Linked DNA regions of Macaca fascicularis. The main gene of each other region encodes a partner of the protein of the gene in region 2 in a complex. Links are inferred from orthologs where the notes say so. Each region holds a gene or a part of one and is shown on either strand. Other genes may lie near its edges.

Region 1 (3,282 bases), on a different chromosome or scaffold from region 2:
GCAGCCTGAGCTCCACCCTCCCCTCTTCTTGCGGCACCGCCCACCCACACCCCGTCTGCCCCTTGACCCCACACGCCGGGGCTGGCCCTGCCCTCCCCCATGGCCGTCCCTGACTTCCCAGCTGGCAGCGCCTCCCAGAGGCGTTCGGGCTCCCGCCGCCTCGGGCCGCCTCCTCCAGACTCGAGAGGGCTGAGCCCCTCCTCTCCTCGTCCGGCCTGCAGCCCAGAACGGGCCTTCTCGGACGCTGGCTCGGGACTGTCTTCAACCCCGCCCTGCACCTTGGGCACGGGAAAGCGCCACCCGCCCGCCCCCGCCCTCGCTCCGGGTGCGTGACCGGCCCGCCACCTTGTACAGGACCAGCACTCCCAGGGCCCGAGCGCGTGCCTTCCCCGTGCGGCCCGTGCGCAGCCGCGCTCTGCCCCTCAGTCCCCAGGGTGCAGGCGCACATCGCCCACCCCCCACCTCCCGGTGTATGCAGTGGTGATGCCTAAAGGAATGTCACGCAGTTTTCGGTCTGTGTCGCTTGTTGACCCCGGCAGAGAGTGTAAAGGGAGGGCAAAGGCATGGGGGAAGCTTCGAGCGCTCCAGGCTGCCGCGGTCGCTCAGGCTTGGGCGGCAGCGGAGGGGCTCCCCGGGTCCGCAGGCGAGGCAGAGCCGTGGGGGTCGGGATCAGGGTTCCGGTCCGGCGGTCTCGGCGGGCGGAGGGCGGCGGTGCGGCAGCGGCGGCGGCGGCGCGCACGGCAGGCGGTGAGCCCGGAGCCTAGCACCAGGCAGGCGGCCAGGCTGACGAGGAAGGAGGCCGGCCCGAGCGCGTAGACCACGGCCAGGTCCCGCAGGGCGAGCGGCTGCGCGCAATGGCTAAACGCGGCGTCGGAAAAGGCAGTCAGGGGGCTGAGCGTCAGGCGTCCCGGCCACACGCAGAGCAGCGTCTCGGCCTCTGTGGGACACAGACAAGGGCGTGGCATCAGGCGGCAGCGGCCGCACCGCCCTGCAGACCCCAACCCGCATCCCTAACAGCTCACCTGACGCGGGCAGTGGGTGCCTGCGCAGCCAGGCGCAGAGCGGGCGCAGCGCGCACCCGCAGCCCCAGGGGTTGCCGCGCAGGTGCAGCGCGTCTAGGGCGGGCAGGCGGCCCAGCAGCCCCGGCGCGAGTGCCGCCAGCTCGTTGTCCTGCAGGCTGAGTGAGCGCAGCAGCGGGAGCGCGCCTAGCGCCGCGGGCTCCAGGCTAGCCAGTCGGTTGCCGGCCAGTGAGAGGTTGCGCAGCGCGCGCAGCGGCGCGAAGGTCCCTGGTGCCAGCGCTTCCAGCTGGTTGGCGCTCAGGTCCAGCAGCTGCAGCGCGCCCAGGCCCCAGAAGGCTCGCCCGTGCACCGAGCGTAGCCCATTCTCGCGCAGGTCCAGGCGCTGTAGCCCGCCCGCTCCCGCGAAGGCACCGGGCGGCAGCGCGCGGACGCGGTTATGGTCCAGCAGCAGCGCGCGCAGGCGCAGGCTCAGGCCTGCGGGCACGGCGGGCAGCGAGAGTGCCGAGCAGCTGGCCAGGCCGCCCGGCACGCACGTGCACACCTCGGGGCAGTCCGGGGCGCCCGGGGACCCCGAGGGCGAGGCTGTGGCCGACACCTGGGCCCAGACAGGCCAAGGCGACAGCAGCAGCAGCAGCAGCAGCAACGGCCGAGGCCGCGACCAAGAAGGGCTCCGCATGGGGGCAGCCCCGGCACCCGCGGTGAGAGGCCCGCTGCCTGCGTGTCCCCGGAGCGCGTCGTCCGCGGAGCCCTTTCCTGCGGCGCCTGCACAAATATTAACTCTGGCCCGAGCGCAGGCAGTTCCTGTCCCACGGCTGGATCCACGCTTGGGGCGGAGGCAAGGCAAACAGCCAACGCCCGGCACCGCCAGCCACCTGTCCCGGAGCTCCAAACTACTCTTGGCTTAGCGCCGGCCACAGCGCTATCAAGACCACCTCGCCCCGCCTTGTCCACCACCGGGCGCCCGCCGAGCCCTGAGCAACAGGACACCGCCCACCTGCACCCACCCAGCTCACGGCTGCGACAGGCTCCCGCACGCAATGCAACCCAGAGGTCCTACTCCTCACCCGTCTCGACCCCACCCAGGCTCAGCAAAGTGATGCCAACGTGCACACGCGGAGTGGCCCCCACGCAGGGATGGTCCCGTTCCCATGGTGGATGGGGCCTGGGTTGGAGACAGGCTTTGGGATGGAGGGAGACAGCACACCCCAGGCAGGAGAGGTGTGCCTGCCCCACCCCTCCCCCTAGGACTCTCCTGGACCGTCAGAAAAACAGACCAGTGCAGTGGGGCAGCGGTATCAGCCCAAGTCCTCCTGTTAAACCCAGCGCCCTTCGGAGTTGCCAGTTTCAGGTCCTGTTCTAGGGGCTTTCCAAAGCAGGGTGTAGGGAGGAGCCAGGCTGACCAGCTGTGGTAGAGAAGGTGGAAACATTATGGGTTTGGTTTCCTGCCCTGGGGCAGAGGAACAGGGGAACCTGGTGTGGGGCCTGGGTGCCCTGCTTTGATGAGACCCATATGCGTGTGCACCCCCCATGATGCAGCCTTGAGGGGTGTGAGAGCCTGCAGGGAGGACAGTACACAATCACTAAATACACTTTAATTCCCCTCCCCCAGCTGCCCTCAGCCCTACTCAGGTGGTAGGGGCGGGGGTGGCGGCGGCTCCTCTGGAGAAGCCTCCATGGGAATGGCCACAAGGCTCTGATCCTCTAGTGGCGGCATCATGGAGACCTCCAGGTCAGCGTCCATTAGCTGGGACTCCACATATACCGGGTGCAGGTCCATGCGATTTTCCTGGACCCCAAAATTCTCCATCAACCTGCATGACAGGGGCCAGGTCAGCACAAGCTGGTGGAGTCCTGATCCTCCAGGGCAGGCCAGTGTCTGGGACAGCGCAGTCCCACAAAGGGCCTCCCCTGGGACAGCACCCCTCCTCCTCCAGGGACTCCCTTGGGATAGCTTCCTGCGCCAAGGGCCTCCCCTAAGACAGCACACCCCACCCCAGGACCTCCCTTGAGACAGCGCACCCCCCTGGAGGGCCTCCCTGGTGCTCACCTGTTGTCCACTAGTCTCGGGCATGTTTCACTGAGGGGATGAAGACCGACATGAGTCCTGGAACAGTGTTGGGCCCCCGAACCTCCCCCAACACACGCCTAGGAAACACCATTCCTACCCCAGGTGACAGCCCACCCGGGGGTAAAGGCCCCTCTTGCAAGACCGAGGGCCCAGGGCAGGCAGCCTGGCCTCACTCCCATCCACTCCCGGCCCCGG
Region 2 (4,298 bases):
CACAATTGCAATAAAATTACAGACCTCAAGCATAGAAAGAAAAGCTTTTAAAAGGTTTAACTTACCATTATTGCTTATAATGAGCTGGCTACCTATGTCTTAAGTGAGCGAATCTAGGGGCAGATATCAAGAGATTCTGGGCATGCTTTAAAATGGACTCATGGTATCAAAAGGAACCTGCACTCATTCTATACTGTCCTCACATCTTCCGAACCAACAACCATCACCTCTCATCCCTGGCGGACTTCTTATAGCAACTAACTTCCATTTATGTCCACTCAGCAGGTCTTGGAGCTACAAAATATAGCCAAATATTTATGAATTGTTTTTTCTAATCGTTGCCAAAAACCTATTTTCTGGAGTAAACTGACAGAAGTTATGCTTGCTCATCATTTAGGAGATCCTTTGTGTGTGCAATGGGATTAGCATTTCATTACAGACACAGCAATTGCATTTATGTACTCCCTCGCGTTAAAATATTTTGGAAGCTGTGTTTAGGACCCCAGGATCACAAAAACACCACAACTTATTTTGAATCATTGAAAAAGTTTTCATTATGATCAAAATTGCCCACTGCCTGAAAGAAAGCAAGCTGTTAAAAAGTTCACCCAGATCACTCCATCTAGGGAACATTTCAGACACACACAACTGTGAGCTATCTTTCCTCTAAAGACAGTCGCTGAATCGCAGTAAACCGGGGAACAAAATTCCCAAGACTGTTGGGGGAGGTGGAGGAGAAGGATGGAGAGAGGGAATGTGGGAATCTGAAGGCTCCAGGAATAAGCTGTTCTCAGCAGGAAGGCTAGGCAGGGATCTGGTGTATAGGGCTTTGCTTAACCTGAGGGCTTCTCTGGCAGGTAAGAGGTTTTCCCACTTAACAAATAAGAAAGAACCTCTACGACTGAGAAGGTAATTCCAAAGAAAACTCTCCGGCCAACACCTGCAGGCCTCCGGAGAAGTCAGAGAATGACGAAGAGAATGACGGTTTTCATATTTCTCCCTTTGTTCCAATACACCAGTATTTTCCAAAACACAAATGTGCTGCCACAAAACACAGCTGAGCTCCAGCACCCAACAGGATGTATAATTAATGATCAGGAGAGAGAGCCTCCATTCGCCCTGGTGTTTTCATAGTCAGCCTTCACCCATAGCCCCTGGCTTCCCTACTTCTCTCAGCCGCTAAGGAGGCTGCTACAAGTTGTTGTGCCCTGTGGAACTTTGAGGGGTCCTCAGTTTAACTTTACTAGAAAATATGTGAACATGTGGAGGCTGCAATGTGTGTCTACCCTGCACTATTCCCTTGGATGTCCCTTCCCTCCAAAACGGTTCGTGCTGTGAAGTCTCCTAGGATGGGAATTACTCAGAAAGAAGGCAGCTGGGTCACTCTCTTTTTTTCCAGTTCTTTCTTTTTTACTCTGCAGTTTTCTATTAAACAGCATCGGGCCCCCCAATCCAGCTAGTAGCTGTGGGGAAGGGAGGACATCTCTAGGGACACGACTACAGACCAGGCAGTGAGCCTAGCAACCATACATCGAAGGTGTCGCCAGCCTCAGTGCTGGTGGGCGTCTGCGCCAGGAATAGCTAAAGCCGACGACATCTAGCCACCTTGAGCGCCAGGGAAGAAGCTCCGCGTAAAACCGCGGCCTCAGGTGGACCCCCGCTCCAGCTCCGCGCTGCTGGTGGCATTTCCGGGGACCCAAAGTGGGTGGCCTGGGGGCAAAGGAACAGAGGCCGAAGAACTTGGGGTATGTTCCAATAGAGCACCTAAGGGACGGAGTGGGAGGTTACATCAGATATGCGACCTCAACACATTCTGAAAGTGGCAGCCCCATGGGCTGCCCCCAATACTGGGATGGATCTCCCCAACTTCTCTCGCCCCTCGAAGTCCCCCTGCTATCTCGGGCCATGCTCCTCCCCTGGGATTCCCTTGTGCAAAATTATTCTCTCCCTTGCCCAAAGGATTTTCCCTTCTTTCTGACCCCACGAACTCATCTCCCCAACAGGTTCCTAAAGTATGGGCGGATGTCCTCCCTCTCGCCCACCGCCAGGAGCCGAGCCCCGGCAGGTGAGCGGTGTAGAACACGCACCCAGCTGCCCCCACCTCCCTCTGTCCCCGAGGGGTAGGCTCTCCCCACCCCGCACCACGGCACCCAAGACTGTGCGTTCCCCACCCCGGCCCCAGCCGCAGCCGCCAACAACCCTACAATAAACAAGAGGGCAGGATTGGGCGTCCGTGTCCCGGAGCGCATCGGCTGGGGGCAACTCCTCACCCCCGGCGCGCCGCCCGCTGCCCCGATCCGAGAGCACCGGGAGAGCCGAGGGAAGGGAAGGCGGCGAGGGGAAGGCAGGCGGGGATGGAGGGAGGCACTGCGCGGCGCGGAGCGAGGAGGTGGGCTGCAGGGGACGCTGAGAAGCTGCGGGGCTGGCGCAGAGGGCGGGCGCCCGGGGCGCGCGTTACCTTGGTCTTGCCCCCGCAGTGGCAGCATACGGTCCACAGGTACTTGAGCGTCCGCCAGAGCAAGATGATGAAGAGGCCCCCGAAGAAAGTAACCATGGAGGAGGCCAGGAAAGCCCACCACATGCGTTGGCCCCGGCTGTCGCACGGCACCTCCATGGTCACCGGGATGATGAGCGCATCCATCTTGGGCTCGTGGACCGAGGACGAGGAGGAAGAGGAGGAGGAAGAAGAAGAAGAGGAAGAGGAGGAGGAGGACGCGTCTAGGCTGAGATGGTTCGCGTGGATATTGCTACTCATTCTAAGACTGCTGCCTCCGCCGCCGCCGCCGCCGCCGCTGCTGCCGCCGCCGCCGCCGCCACCATTTGCCATAGCTAGCAACGGGCAGCCGGCGCAGGGGCTCGGGGGAGCTCCTCCCGCCGCCAGCGCCACCCCAAACACCCATCAACAGCCATATTGCTGCTACTGCTGCCGCCGCCGCCGCCGCGGAGCGCGGGAGGGGGGCGGGGAGGCGCCTGGGCTCGGGGCGCTGTGCGCGACCTGGCGGGGTGCGCCGAGATATATACAGCGAGCCGCCGCCGCCAGCCCTCCCCCCGGCCGCCGGCCCGCCCGGGGGGGAGGGGGATGGAGAGCGCTGGCAGCTCCCCCTCCCCGGCCCGCGCCCCGCTAGCCCCGGGCTGCGCTGGCCCCGAGCTCCAAGACCCAGGGGGCGCCGCGGGCCTCCCGCGCCCGGGGTCTGTGCCGCCCCCGGGCCCGCCCCGGCTCCGCGCGCGGGCCCGGGTGTCCTCGGCGCCGCGCCGCCCGCCGTGCGCCACGGGTGTGCGCTGCGCTCGGCCGGGGACCCCCCTTCCCCGCGCGCCTCCTGCGCGGCTAACGAGCCGCTCTCTGCTTATTAGGCGACAACTCGTTAATAATGGATAATCGGCCCCCTCCGCCCTGGCGCCCCCGCGCCAGCCCTCCTCTCCCGGCTGCGCTCGGCTCGGGCTCCCCGCCCCAGTGCGCGCCCGGCCGCAGCAGGTTCACCGCGTCCGGCCACCGGGCCGTGGCCGCCTGCTAGCCCATGCTCCCCGGACCCCGAGTCCTGTCGCCACGCCGCTGAGCCCCTCGGCCTCCGCTCGCTCTTCCTCCTCGCCGCCTCCGACTCCTCCTCGTCCCCGTCCTCGCCGCCCGAGCCTCTTCGGCGCGCGCCCCGCGCTCCCCGCAGCCGCCAGCAGCAGCAGCTGCAGCAACTGGAGCGGGCGCGGGCTCAGGACGCCCGAGGCGGGAGGGGAGGAGGCTCGCCGCGCTGGCTCGCCTGGGCTCCAGGCTGGGCAGGGGCGAGCAGGGCCCCTCGGCGGCGGCCCGGCACGCGCCCCTGACCCCCAGGGCGCCAGGTAGAGCGCCCCCAGCCCAGGCGCAGGGCCAGGCGCCTCTCTCCAAGGTGCTGCGCCCCCAGCCGAGAGCGGTGGGGTACCCGGGGAGGATGGCGGGGAGCCCCGGTCAGGCCGTTTTTTTCCCAAAAGAGCCCCCAGTGGGTAGGGGAGGAGTGCCAGCTGTCAACTGGATTCCACAGACTGAGCGCCCCAGGACCCTCGGGCTTCGGAACTGAGGAGGACCCTACGCCAGGATATACACAGCGACCCACCCTCTACTTCGCTCTTCTCCCTGCTTCCTATGTGCCCAATGTTCCGTGTGTGGCTGGAGGGCAGGGTCAGGAAGGCCGGTGGGTAGTCTGTGGCCTCTGACAGCAGCAGGTGGTTTCTCTCCTTTTTCCTTATTAGCAACAGAGGCTGCCCAAGAGAGAGTAGGCAGAGATGATCAGGACGACCTGACCTGGGGATAGTGCAGGCCCCAACAGACAACA
Region 3 (4,224 bases), on a different chromosome or scaffold from region 2:
GTAACATTTGAAGTCCAGGAAAGAGAAATCAAGAATTCCATGATTCCATGTTTCCGTATTCATCAGGAACATAATTAAGAGTTTATTCATTTGCGACTTACAAACACAAAAAGTTTATGTCGTTTGCAAGGAAGTCAATATTCTGATTTTATTCTTCGAAATGTAGATATAAATAGGTCTCAAGTTTGATTTTATGATAAAAGTGTGGTTTGGGAAAAGGTAATTCCAACTTTTAAAAGGTCGCGAAAAGAATAGAGGCTGAAGCATAGTTGGGGTGGAGGTAATTGGGGGTGGAGGTAATTGGGGTTGGAGGGAGCAACGGCAAGTATTAAGAGCAGAACACAGGTCTAGAAACAGTACCTGTAACAGAGTGGGCCTGCCTGCTGCTGTCGCTTTAAACAGCGCTCCTGGAAAGCTTATCTACAAATCCTGGGGCGGGTCACGGGTGGCAAGACTCCTAAGGAGGGAAACCACATAAACGATTCTGTTCTTGGGAGCTCCGAAGCAAGTTCTGATGGGAAAAGTGGTATTTCTTTCCAGGCTGCAAAGCTCTCCACCTGTTTCCTTTAGTCTCAGTCAGCCCCAGCCATGGGGGCAAATCAAGTTGGGGTCGACCCGGCTGCCAGAGACGTAAGTTGCCACAAGGGTCACTGAGGACCTGAGCAGCAAGTTTCTTTTGTCCAGCCTCCTGCCCCCACGCACGTTGCCTCCACAGCAAACTCCACCTGACTCAGCCTGTTTAACTCCAATCCTGCAGCCCTCCCGGCCGCAGCAGGGTCAGGGGGCGCGAGTCTGCACCAAGACGGTTAGGAGGCCCAGGTCCTGGGACTGGACGGTTACCGCGCTCCCTGGGGCGGCGGCGCTGGCGGCGTGGGCACCGCTGGGTCACGCCTCTGGCACCGCCGCGCGCCAGCCCGCCCGTCGCATGGGGACCTGCGGTTGAGTAGTCCCCGGGGACCTCCCAGCGCACACCGCTAGCCTGGGGCTTTCACCTCGATCCGCCCGGCCCGGGCGGCCCGTGTCCTCCCACACCGCCACGCGTGCCCGCTTCCCGGGGTGCGCCCGGAGCCTGGCCGCTCTGCCCGCAGGTGACCAGTCCCCGTTTAGAGTTCAAGATTCCCGCCGCTCCACTTGAACTCCACCCTCCCCTCTGATTATTATTTTTTAACTTTCCCTCCGGTTAAGCTAAATCGATCTTAATCTTTCATCTCGGACGTCCCTCTAAGGGGACTCAGGGAAGATTCCAATTGCAAGTCGCCGCTGTCGCTTGTGCCCGTCAACCCCTCGCCCAAAGGAGACGCCCCCGGGCAGGGCGGGGCGAAGCGGGGCGGGGCGGAAGGGCCAGGGTCGGCGGCGGACGGGGCGGGGCGGAGCCTCCTCCTGCACGGGGGAGCCCCCGGGCTCGCCCCAGCTCAGGCACTCCTAGCCTTGGGGCAGCTGCCGGACGAGTCCGCGGAGAAGCGGCCAGCGGGCGATGGAGACAGAGAGACACCCGACGAGAGGAGGCGGGGTGGGGGAGGCGGGGAGAGTGCGGGGGCGGAGGCTGGCAGGGGGCGCTGGAAGCTGGAGCGGACCGTGCGCTCCCCGCGCCCGAGGGTGCAGGAGGCTCTGAAGCGGCGGCTGCACCGCGGGGCCCAGGCGGCGGCTGGGGGGCTGGGGGGCGCTGCCGCCGCCGGGGGCGTCGCTGGCCTCGGCCCCTTTGTTCTCGCGCGCTCCCCCTCGCCGCCCACTCCCCTGCTGTCGCGCGGCGGCGGCGGTGGCGGCGGCGGCTCCTCCCGCCCGAGGCAGTCGGGCTTGGCGCCGGGGGCGGGAGGGGGCGGGGGGAGCGCGCCAGCCGCCGAGAGTGGGGGGCGATGGCGAAGCTCCGGGTGGCTTACGAGTACACGGAAGCCGAGGACAAGAGCATCCGGCTCGGCTTGTTTCTCATCATCTCCGGCGTCGTGTCGCTGTTCATCTTCGGCTTCTGCTGGCTGAGTCCCGCGCTGCAGGATCTGCAAGCCACGGAGGCCAATTGCACGGTGCTGTCGGTGCAGCAGATCGGCGAGGTGTTCGAGTGCACCTTCACCTGTGGCGCCGACTGCAGGGGCACCTCACAGTACCCCTGCGTCCAGGTCTACGTGAACAACTCTGAGTCCAACTCTAGGGCGCTGCTGCACAGCGACGAGCACCAGCTCCTGACCAACCCCAAGGTAAGAACGCCCCGTGCACCCAGGGGCTTCCCGCGAGGGAGGTTTGGAGGCAGCGTCGGTGTTAGACTCCGCGCGGGGAGGGTTCGGCGAGTGCTCGCATTGCTGGGAGGAGACCAGGTGGCGCAGGCTGTACTCAAACCAGGAATGAGTACATCAGGGAGCCCGAGGGCACCGGTCTTTTAGGTGGGCTTACGCGCCGCGAACAGTGGTGCCCAGAGGCTTACTTTAAAACCTGTCTTGCCTGGTCTCAGATTTTGAGGCCTCGACCCAGTCCGGGTCCTGCGCCTACCGGACTGGGTTTGAAGAAGTGCAAGGAGCCAAGAAAGTTAACTTTTCCTCCATTTAAAGCCAGTGGTTAGCGGGGATCCACCTACTCCAGCTCATGGTCAAGGTTCGAGCTTCAGTTGGTCTCATCTAGAACTCAGATGGAATGACCTTCCTTGAAAGGTTGAGGGGACCCTCGAAAGTTGTGAGAGAGTTCCTTACCTTTTCGCTCTACACAGCCATTTTCAACTTGGGGTTCAAAGATAAGCTTTTGTGGCTTGACAAAACGACCTGGAATCAAATGTGGAATATTGCGGGTCCATTTTGGGAAGTACAGAGGGCTCCTAGTTTTCATGAGATAGATTCTCAAAAGAGTCTACAGGGAGCCTAGTTACCCTTTGTGTTTAGGGACAGTCAGGAGCCGTCTGGAGAACAGTAAAACTTGCTGAAAATAGAAAACCTTCAGTGAAATGTACCTAACATGACTTCTCTGACAACTTCTTTTGGTCTCGAAAGCAAACAAGAAGAAAAAGCAGAAGAAAAAAAAAAGATAAAACCTGGTTAGGACTCCCGGGATGGAGAGCAGAGAGAGGAAGTCTCAGAAAACTGTTCCCAATGGAGAAAAATAACTTATAAAAAGCAGTGTCCTTAGCCTGTGAACTAATTGAGCTTTGTAGTGTACCTGGTTCTGGTTCCTTTTTTACTTCCCTTGATCTTTTCTACTCTCCTTGTTGCTTAACTATCAAAGTAAAGGTATGTATCTTTTTAAAAGTTACTGACATTTTTCCTTTTTTTGAGGGATCAAGCAGAAAAACAGTCCAAAAGGGAATGAATCTTGTGTTCACAGGAACACTTTATTAACTGTAACAAGATATATTTGTATTAATCCAAAAGAAAAAAATTCTACATTAATATTGTAGTAGTATTTAAAACAAGCTTACCATCACTCTGCAATAAAACTTGTGGTCTTACCTCCTGAACAGTAAATTCTTGAATTTGAGACATTTTTTAAAATTTCTCAAATTATTTTTAAAAAATTTCTTTTTAAAAATATGAATGACTTCTCCCTCCCCCCAAAAAAGCTCCTGTCGACAGATGAATATTGATTTATCTTTAAAAGTATCAATAATATAAGCAGTAAATATAGGACTAAGAATATAGAATTTGGAGTATATTGTTGAAGATCTTGAAGAAGTGATAACGTCTCAAAGACAAATGTTGTAACTTGATCCTCTTAATGCTCAGGAATTTAAAAAGAAATCTCAGGGTTTTAGAAACATCATTTTTTTTTTTTTTTGGAATTAAATCAATAATGTCAAAGGTAAGTGCCAACCAGTAGTAATGATTTAGAAATTTTATGGCAGTTCATCATTTAGAAGTTGTTATAGTTGGTGAAACACTGCTAATTATTTTAAGATAGTGGTTCAAGCACTAATAAATTTCATATCTGTATATACATATATATGCACACACATTAATAAATGGCTAATATCTAATCAAGACATGGACACATTATAATTTATTACGAAAAGACTGCTTCACGATTTCAGGCAGTTTGAAGATCTGGCAGAAAAAGTAAAATGAAATCATTGGAACATTGATTTTTAAATTACCTAGAAGCAATCACAATGCTTTATGTAATACTAAGATTTCTCCTGTCTTTCTCTCTCTCTCTCCCCTGAAAATAATCATTTTTTTTTCCAGTGCCAGTTCAGATCTTGGCAACAGTTGTTTTGAAAAATTACCTGAACAAAATACATTTTATAAAGTA

What was found. The genes of interacting proteins can lie anywhere in the genome.
Region 1: the proteins of KCNMA1 (region 2) and LRRC26 are in contact, whole or in part, in a cryo-EM structure (PDB 7YNZ), measured with the Homo sapiens proteins. The link is inferred for Macaca fascicularis from reciprocal best matches to the Homo sapiens genes KCNMA1 and LRRC26. Residues at the interface, in NP_001154824.1 of Homo sapiens: Pro78, Cys79, Asp80, Ser81, Arg82, Gln84, Trp88, Ala92, Ser93, Val96, Thr97, Glu155, Trp158, Met159, Ser161, Val162, Trp165, Cys206, Leu226, Leu227, Phe229, Gly230, Leu231, Phe233, Ile234, Asp251, Phe252, Pro256, Phe259, Val260; in NP_001013675.1 of Homo sapiens: Gly204, Cys205, Gly206, Cys207, Ala208, Arg236, Leu237, Ala249, Phe250, His252, Cys253, Ala254, Gln255, Leu257, Arg260, Asp261, Leu262, Val264, Val265, Tyr266, Leu268, Gly269, Pro270, Ser272, Phe273, Ser276, Leu277, Cys280, Leu281, Leu283.
Region 3: the proteins of KCNMA1 (region 2) and KCNMB4 are in contact, whole or in part, in a cryo-EM structure (PDB 6V22), measured with the Homo sapiens proteins. The link is inferred for Macaca fascicularis from reciprocal best matches to the Homo sapiens genes KCNMA1 and KCNMB4. Residues at the interface, in NP_001154824.1 of Homo sapiens: Phe98, Phe99, Leu102, Phe103, Leu106, Leu107, Arg109, Thr110, Tyr113, Leu114, Thr116, Val117, Asp238, Leu240, Trp241, Leu244, Pro327, Trp328, Asn330, Gln332, Leu367; in NP_055320.4 of Homo sapiens: Thr11, Glu12, Ala13, Glu14, Lys16, Ser17, Leu20, Leu24, Ile34, Phe35, Cys38, Trp39, His105, Thr164, His165, Val183, Leu186, Ile187, Leu190, Thr191, Ala194, Leu197, Ala198, Lys200, Ala201, Met204.

What each region holds. Positions count from the first base shown.
Region 1 is NC_088389.1:2,146,461-2,149,742, reverse strand, and holds LRRC26 (leucine-rich repeat-containing protein 26), read right to left. Parts: upstream 1,801-3,282; 5' UTR 1,696-1,800; coding exon 1,023-1,695; intron 938-1,022; coding exon 603-937; 3' UTR 507-602; downstream 1-506. Other genes in the region: TMEM210 (transmembrane protein 210), read right to left, coding at 2,641-2,830, 3,067-3,096. UniProt on the Homo sapiens protein: Auxiliary protein of the large-conductance, voltage and calcium-activated potassium channel (BK alpha). Required for the conversion of BK alpha channels from a high-voltage to a low-voltage activated channel type in non-excitable cells.
Region 2 is NC_088383.1:68,824,884-68,829,181, reverse strand, and holds the start of KCNMA1 (calcium-activated potassium channel subunit alpha-1), read right to left. Parts: upstream 2,828-4,298; coding exon 2,459-2,827; intron 2,201-2,458; coding exon of another isoform or gene 1,790-2,200; exon of another isoform or gene 1,771-1,789; intron 1,765-1,770; coding exon of another isoform or gene 1,518-1,764; exon of another isoform or gene 1-1,517. UniProt on the Homo sapiens protein: Potassium channel activated by both membrane depolarization or increase in cytosolic Ca(2+) that mediates export of K(+). It is also activated by the concentration of cytosolic Mg(2+).
Region 3 is NC_088385.1:77,096,440-77,100,663, forward strand, and holds the start of KCNMB4 (calcium-activated potassium channel subunit beta-4), read left to right. Parts: upstream 1-1,418; 5' UTR 1,419-1,853; coding exon 1,854-2,189; intron 2,190-4,224. UniProt on the Homo sapiens protein: Regulatory subunit of the calcium activated potassium KCNMA1 (maxiK) channel. Modulates the calcium sensitivity and gating kinetics of KCNMA1, thereby contributing to KCNMA1 channel diversity.